Rattus norvegicus: one gene and its partner. The protein of the gene in region 1 interacts with the protein of each later gene in a biochemical or structural test. Links are inferred from orthologs where the notes say so. Each region holds a gene or a part of one and is shown in the gene's direction. Other genes may lie near its edges.

What was found. The genes of interacting proteins can lie anywhere in the genome.
Region 2: the proteins of Nfya (region 1) and Zhx1 form a complex in vitro, tested with the Homo sapiens proteins (2 studies listed by BioGRID). The link is inferred for Rattus norvegicus from reciprocal best matches to the Homo sapiens genes NFYA and ZHX1.

The regions. Positions count from the first base shown.
Region 1 is NC_086027.1:20,101,960-20,105,608, forward strand, and holds part of Nfya (nuclear transcription factor Y subunit alpha), read left to right. Parts: intron 1-211; coding exon 212-378; intron 379-654; coding exon 655-828; intron 829-1,298; coding exon 1,299-1,400; intron 1,401-3,649. UniProt on the Homo sapiens protein: Component of the sequence-specific heterotrimeric transcription factor (NF-Y) which specifically recognizes a 5'-CCAAT-3' box motif found in the promoters of its target genes.
Region 2 is NC_086025.1:91,497,728-91,501,476, reverse strand, and holds the start of Zhx1 (zinc fingers and homeoboxes protein 1), read left to right. Parts: upstream 1-1,008; 5' UTR 1,009-1,062; intron 1,063-3,749. UniProt on the Homo sapiens protein: Acts as a transcriptional repressor. Increases DNMT3B-mediated repressive transcriptional activity when DNMT3B is tethered to DNA. May link molecule between DNMT3B and other co-repressor proteins.

The DNA.
Region 1 (3,649 bases):
TTTAAAAATGAGTTTACACCGGACTACTTAGCAGAGCAAGGTGAAGCAGTAGAAGACACTTGCTTTCTCCCATGGTGTTTGTCAGCTTATCCAGGAGGGTATACAGGAGCCAGGTGGAAGGGACTAACCGTTTTCCCTTCTTTCTGTTCCGTGTACCTGTTCTTTGTTTTTTGTTTTGTTTGTTTTTGTTTTATGTTTTGTTTTCTTAAAGTTACAGTCCCTGTTTCAGGCATGATCACCATCCCAGCAGCCAGTTTGGCAGGGGCACAGATCGTTCAGACAGGAGCCAATACCAACACAACCAGTAGTGGACAAGGGACTGTCACTGTGACACTGCCAGTGGCAGGGAATGTGGTCAACTCAGGAGGAATGGTCATGGTAAGGAGTGTCCCCACACTGGAGGTTTGGGTGGGCCCCTCCTGTCTGAGCTGGTGTTGTCTCTTGTGAAGTTTCCTATGCTAACTTTGGGGTTGAAGCTAGCTCCATCCTTATGGCACTAGCAGTGTCTACGTCCACAGGAAGCATAATTCATTCCGATGCCTTCCAGGTACCAGACTAGTCTAGACTCTGGAAAGACAGCAGGATGGGTACGAATGGGCAATTTCATTTAAACTTTTCATGCCGGTAGTAAGGTCTGCTCTCTTGTCCATGCAGATGGTACCAGGGGCTGGCTCTGTGCCTGCTATCCAAAGAATCCCTTTACCTGGGGCAGAGATGCTGGAAGAAGAGCCCCTGTACGTGAACGCCAAACAGTATCACCGCATCCTTAAGAGGAGACAAGCGAGGGCCAAGCTAGAGGCAGAAGGGAAGATCCCAAAGGAAAGAAGGGTGCGTATGGCATGGGGAGTGCTAGGCAGGACGCTGCACAGTTGTGCATCAAGGTTCACTGTAGGACCAGTGACAAAGCAAGGGGCTTTTCCCTTTCTATAGCAAAGAAGTCCAGAGAAAGCTTATCCTCAGGACTTCCTCTTGTCTTAGAGCTTCAGTGCTCATGTGTTGGCTGTGGTTCGAAGTGGCAGTTGGTCTGCAGCCAAGGGAATAAGAAGGTGGCCTTCTCATTTTAAAGGATTTGCCTGCATCCGATGACCCAATCTAACATACCTATAGATTGCATAAAAATGGGGTCTCCTCCTATTCTGCCATTTGTGCGACCAAACCTGAGTCAGTCACTGAAGCCTATCATTCCGTTTTCCTCGTTCCCTGGACTCGGGTTGCACTGTGAGGATCCTTTAACTGTAGACTCTGCGGTAGGTTACTGCCAGCTCGCTAACAGTTGAGAATCTTATGCTCTTCCCTAGAAATACCTCCATGAGTCTCGGCACCGACACGCCATGGCACGGAAGCGTGGGGAAGGGGGCCGCTTCTTCTCTCCAAAAGAAAAGGACAGTCCTCACATGCAGGTAAGGAGATTGAATACTTCCTTTCTCTGGTGCCTACCTTCTCTCTCAGCAAAGACTGCCCGCCCTCCCCTTGAGGAAGAAACATACTCTCTATGCATGCGGTCTCTGGTGCTTGGCTTCCTTTCTTTTTAGGAACACTGAAAGTTTCAACCCAGGCTACTTTTACTCTTGGTTTCTCAGGTCTTTGTTTTTTAAGGAAAAGTTTTACTTTTGTTTATTTATTTATTAGTAGTCGGAAACAGTGTTGTGTGTCAGTTCTTGTGTCAAGCATTGTAGTAAACTTTTATTTGTTGTTGTTCAACCAACTGCAACCTCAGGCCCATGGAATAGAAGGACATCACCATTTTTTACAGTTGAATATGAGTTCTTGAGACCTTAAGTAACTTGCACAGCTGAATCAGCCCCGGAAGTGCAGTCCAGTCATCCCACTTACTCTGGAAGCTGAGGCCATGCCTAGGCTAGAGATGAATTCAAGACGAGCTAATTTAGTGGGACTTGTTCTCATAAAGGACTAGTGGTGTAGCTAGCTCACTAGTGTAGAGTATTTAACTGACATATGAGTTCATGGGTTCGAATCCTGCTTCCTCCACAAACAGACCCATCAACTGAATTCAGACCCAGGCAGTAGAACCTCACTGGCTATCTCTTATGGTTCTGAGTCTGTGTATCCGAACTGGAGTGCTTGTTCATTAGACTGTACCTAACAAGTGACTTGTCACCACCCAGTCATTGCAGTTTACATGGTTCAAATTCTGAAGTTCTTTTAGTTTTGCCTCTTGAAACATGATTTGAATCTGTTTATTGTACCCTCCTAGCTGATGGCAGCCTGGCCTAGTCCTCTTTCTCTGGTTTAGATGAATAGATCTACCCACTCTCGTGCACTCTTGCCCTCGCTTTATGTTTCCCACATCTCAGGGTGGTATTCGTGGTATCACACCAGTCTTAGCCTGCCTTTGCTCTCTCACTCCTCGTATATAAGTCAACCATGGGCCGGTAAGCGCATGTCCGCATCTAAATTCGCTTTCTCGCCGTGTGTCTGTTTATCCTGCCAGGTCCTTTGTCGTTACAGTTTCTAGTCTATCATGTTCTTGTCTCCATCATTTCCGTGACTATCTCTTCTTCTCTCTTACTAGCCTAGGCTGTCCTCAAATTTGTAGTCCTCCTGCTCCAGTTTCCCACGTGGTGGGGTTCCAGGACCAGACCTCCACAGACTATTCTGTCCTCCTTACTTTTAGGCCTGGCTTAGATCTGAAAGGTTTTAGCCTGCTCTCATCTGTAGTAGAATTCTTCTTTTTTTTTTTTTTTTTTTTTTTTTTTTTTAATCTATTAACTTGAGTATTTCTTATTGACATTTCGATTGTTATTCCCCTTCCCAGTTTCCGGGCCAACATCCCCCTAGCCCTTCCCCCACCCCTCCTATATGGGCTTCCCCTTCCCATCCTCCCCCCATTACCACCCTCCCCCCAACAATTTTCACTGGGGGTTCAGTCTTGGCAGGACCAAGGGCTTCCCCTTCCACTGGTGCTCTTACTAGGCTATTCATTGCTATCTATGAGGTTGGAGCCCACGGTCAGTCCATGTATAGTCTTTGGGTAGTGGCTTCGTCCCTGGAAGCTCTGGTTGGTTGGCATTGTTGTTCATATGGGGTCTCGAGCCCCTTCAAGCTCTTCCAGTCCTTTCTCTGATTACTTCAATGGGGGTCCCGTTCTCAGTTCAGTGGTTTGCTGCTGGCATTCGCCTCTGTATTTGCTGTATTCTGGCTGTGTCTCTCAGGAGAGATCTACATCCGGCTCCTGTCAGTCTGCACTTCTTTGCTTCATCCATCTTGTCTAATTGGGTGGCTGTATATGTATGGGCCACATGTGGGGCAGGCTCTGAATGGGTGTTCCTTCTGCCTCTGTTCTAAACTTTGCCTCCCTATTCCCTGCCAAGGGTATTCTTGTTCTCCTTTTAAAGAAGGAGTGAAGCATCCTCATTTTGGTCATTCTTCTTGAGTTTCATGTGTTCTGTTCTGTGCATCTAGGGTAATTCAAGCATTTGGGCTAATATCCACTTATCAATGAGTGCATACCATGTATGTTTTTCTGTGATTGGGTTACCTCACTCAGGATGATATTTTCCAGTTCCATCCATTTGCCTATGAATTTCATAAAGTCATTGTTTTTGATAGCTGAGTAATATTTCATTGTGTAGATGTACCACATTTTCTGTATCCATTCCTCTGTTGAAGGGCATCTGGGTTCTTTCCA
Region 2 (3,749 bases), on another chromosome or scaffold:
TCCGTGACTGGGATGGGGGTGGGGACTAAACATCCAGGCGCCAAAGAATTCTCTTACGTCCGGAGCCGTGAATACACAGAACACTATGAGTGGCTTCCTTTTGCCTTCGTGTGTATATTCATTGTAACAATGATGAGAGGGCGGAAAGACAGGTAGGGAAGATGATGAGATCCTCAGATGGCCGCGAAGGGGCTGGTGCCCACTGAGAGCTCAGTTTCAGTCAGTGTGGCTCGCAGTGGGAAGAGGGACTGCGGCAGCAGGCAGAGGCGGAAGGCTCCAAGTGGGGCCACACTCAACTTTTCCCGTCCAAAGCTGTAACTACGGGTCCCGCTGGACTCGGGCTAGAAGAGGCGGAGTTGCAGCTGACAGGAGCGCGGGACTGTTGACAGCGGGTGGGGGCGCGGCTGGAATCCAGAGGGCGCTCCCAAGGAGGAGCTGAGAGTGACAGTGGGAGTGGCTTAGGGAGGGGCGGGACCTTAGGAGTCGGGCTCCAAGACAGAAGGGGTGGCGGAAGACCAAGGCAGTTTCCACGGGAGACAGCGACCTCGGTCGCGGGAGGCGGAGTCCAACTTCTGACGACCGCTGGCCGAGCAATCGCCTGAGGGAGGTGGAGCCTCGCAAGGCCGGAAGGAGGAGCCTCTCATGATAGGGCGTGGCTTCTCGTGACAGAGGCGTGGCTCCCTCCTGACAGGGGGCGTGACTCTTCCTGACAGAGGGCGGGGCGGCGCACACCTCCCGCAGCGCAGGGTTCTAGAGGAGCGGCCTGGGTCGCATCCCAGAGGAGCGGCGAAGTCCTCGAGTGGGGCGCCCATCTCGCTCCGCCTCGGTTGGCTCCTCCTCGCAGCCCTTGTAGGCTTAGGGACCGGGAGTCTCTCTCGCACCCTAGCCTGGCGTCTTGGAGCTCCTGCCGGGCTGCAGAGCTCCGTGGGCCCCCCGCGCGAGGGCCCTCCGAGTGGTTCCGGGGTTAGGGTTCACAGGTCAGAGTTGACTCCCTGAAAAGTGCAGTCGCTCTGAAATGCAAGATGGCGGCGGCGAGGCGCTGAGGCGAGGCGGCCCCTGCAGGTAGCTGCGCGAGCCGGCTGGGTATTGGGCCTCGCGGTTGCGGGGCTGCGGGTGGAACCCGAGCTAGAGCTCGTGGCGAGTGGGGAAGTCTAGAGGCGCGGGCCCTGGCGCGGCACGGGACGGGCAGCAGCGGGGCAGAGACACCCCCACCCCCTGACCCAGCCCACGGCGCTGGGGCACGCAGCATCCGACCCCGAGGGACCGGGCCTGCCCCGCGGCGGGGCGGACAGAGTCTCAGCTCCCGGGTTCTCTCGAGGGTGTGAAAGCGAGGACGGAGCTCTGGGCGGGGGGGCTTGGAGGGAAAGCCCCAGTGCCTTGGTTGGGAGAGCACTGAGTAACTTGGGGGTGTTGAGGGGATGGGGTCTCCCTGAGGGGAGGACGTCTCTGGGCCAGCAGACCTTAACTACCGGGCGGGTCCTGGGGGAGATCTCCAGCGTTGGGCCTCCGGAGGCGTGGGGCCACCTCGTGGGGACGCGGCGCAGCCCCTCTGAAGAGTCAGCAAAGGATCTCCTGCTGGACTGTAGTCGCTGGCTTTGGGGTCAAAGCAATGGGAACATCAACAGGGAAGACTCAGAGTTGCATCTCTAAGAAGTATAATGCGAAGTATATTTTGAGGAAGACCAGGATTTTAGGGGAGAAGTTAATTAAAGAAGGTGGAAACACACTTGTCTCTTTCTGCAGAGGTACAGGAGCGTGAGTGCAGAGACTTGGGAGAGCGATGGACCAGAGCAATCTCCAAGCCTTGGGGCTTCAAGGGAATTGGCTAGGAAGAGGAAATAAAAAGGACTGGGGTCTGATGGCAGGGAAGCCGAGCCCTGACAGAAGCGCTTTCCTTGTGTATTTACACTGAAGTTCCAAGAGAGGGACTTAGAATTCTTTGTTTCGGTGCTCCAAAGGTACCAGTAAGAAACAAACCAAACCGAAGAATAAGATTCTGTTTGCTCTCCTTAGCTTAGGGATTAAGGTTCTGGGAAAAGCAATTGGAAACTGAATGTGGAGAAGAAGCGTAGATAAGGTAGGAATTGCTTACAGTACTTTTTTGTCATCAACCCTTCTCTAAAAGACAAAACCAAAACAAACCGAGAAGAGATAATATTTAGGAGGAAATTATAAGAGAGGCCGATTGAGAATTTGTGACGTATTTAGGGTGGGATTCCATGTAACTCGAAGAAGCAGTTCTCTTTGAGGTTAATATGATGCCAAATGAAAATCCGGAGGAACCACTCCTCCCCCAGGAAAAGCCTGTGTTGCGGGGTACACGAGTACACCTTTTTCTTTGTGGTGCTGCTGGTCATTGTATTTCAGAAGTCTTTGTCCTAACACTTTAATTTGTATGCAGTGGTAATTACCTGTTTCTTTTTAAACTGCCCTGAAAAGGTCATTATTTCATACTGGTAATGGGGATTAGTAAAAGTTTGTCCTAACAAGGCTACTGGCACTAGATTATTTCTAAAGAAGCAATTCTGATTCCAGATTCTAAGTGAAGGAAAAGCTGAGTGCTGTCAAGGACGGTAGTTTGGTAACAAGGCATATGAAGAAAAGGACAGTCATGAATATTTTCTTTACTTAGTTTCTCCATCCTCCAAGCATTTTAAAAGTATACAGACTAATTTTGTAAATTAGTAAATTTAGCAAAGTAAAATGCATAATCTTAGATTTTGTTTTGAATTGGCATTTCAAAACATAGTCTAGGCTGTCCTTGAAGTCATGGCAATCCTCTTGCCTCTTCCTTGTCAGTGCTGGGCTTACAAGCATGTACCACCATCTCAATCTTAGATACTAATTTTTTTACATTTATTATTTATTTGTGTTTATATGCAGTTATGTGCACATCCTACTGTATGCATGTGGAAGTTAGAGGATAACTTTCAGGAGTTGCTTCTCCACCCACTATGTAGGTTCTGGATATCAGACTCAGGTTGTCAGGCTTGGTGGTAAATGCTTTTACCGACCAAGTCACCTTACTGGCCCTTAGGCATTTTTTAAAATATAGAATTTACAGTATTTTATCAATGAATTTTTTTTGTAGAACTATCTCTTGATATATTTTATTTGACAGCTTAGATTAAAATGAGAGAGAGAGAGAGAGAGAAAAAACAAGAAAGAACCCTAATGACTTCAGTAACATATGGTCTGAGCCATTCTTATATTCTCAAAAGAGCTTAATGTTTTTGGTAGAAATGTTTTAAAGATACAGGTCGAGTATAACAAGCTTGTGGCTCAGCATTTGGAAGACTTCTTTGAATATGTGCTGTTCCTTGCTTTCCCCACAGTGCATACAGCTCTAGTGTTATACTCAGATCTGAACACATTAGTCTGGCACACCAGAGAGGCATCCATAGATGCCAGATGCTTTGAAAATATGCTAAGGCTGAAAACATAAATGTGTCTGTGTGGAGGATGCTCATCGGTAGCTTCATCTCCTGCAAGCCAAGCTTGCTAGGCTTGAGTGTAGGACATGAAAGATGTCACCATGGTTTCACCTTTCATTTTTTTTTCTTTTTAGGGAGAAAAATGTTTATTTATGAATTTCACTTTTCAAAATCAGATCATAATTTTATGAACTCGTCCTTTAGGATGGATACTCAATGTTTGATTTGGATGGACTTCTATCTGCTCTGAACTTAACTGAGAAAACACAAATTAGCTCTTTTGCTTATAAAAATTAAAAACTAAATTTGCCATTT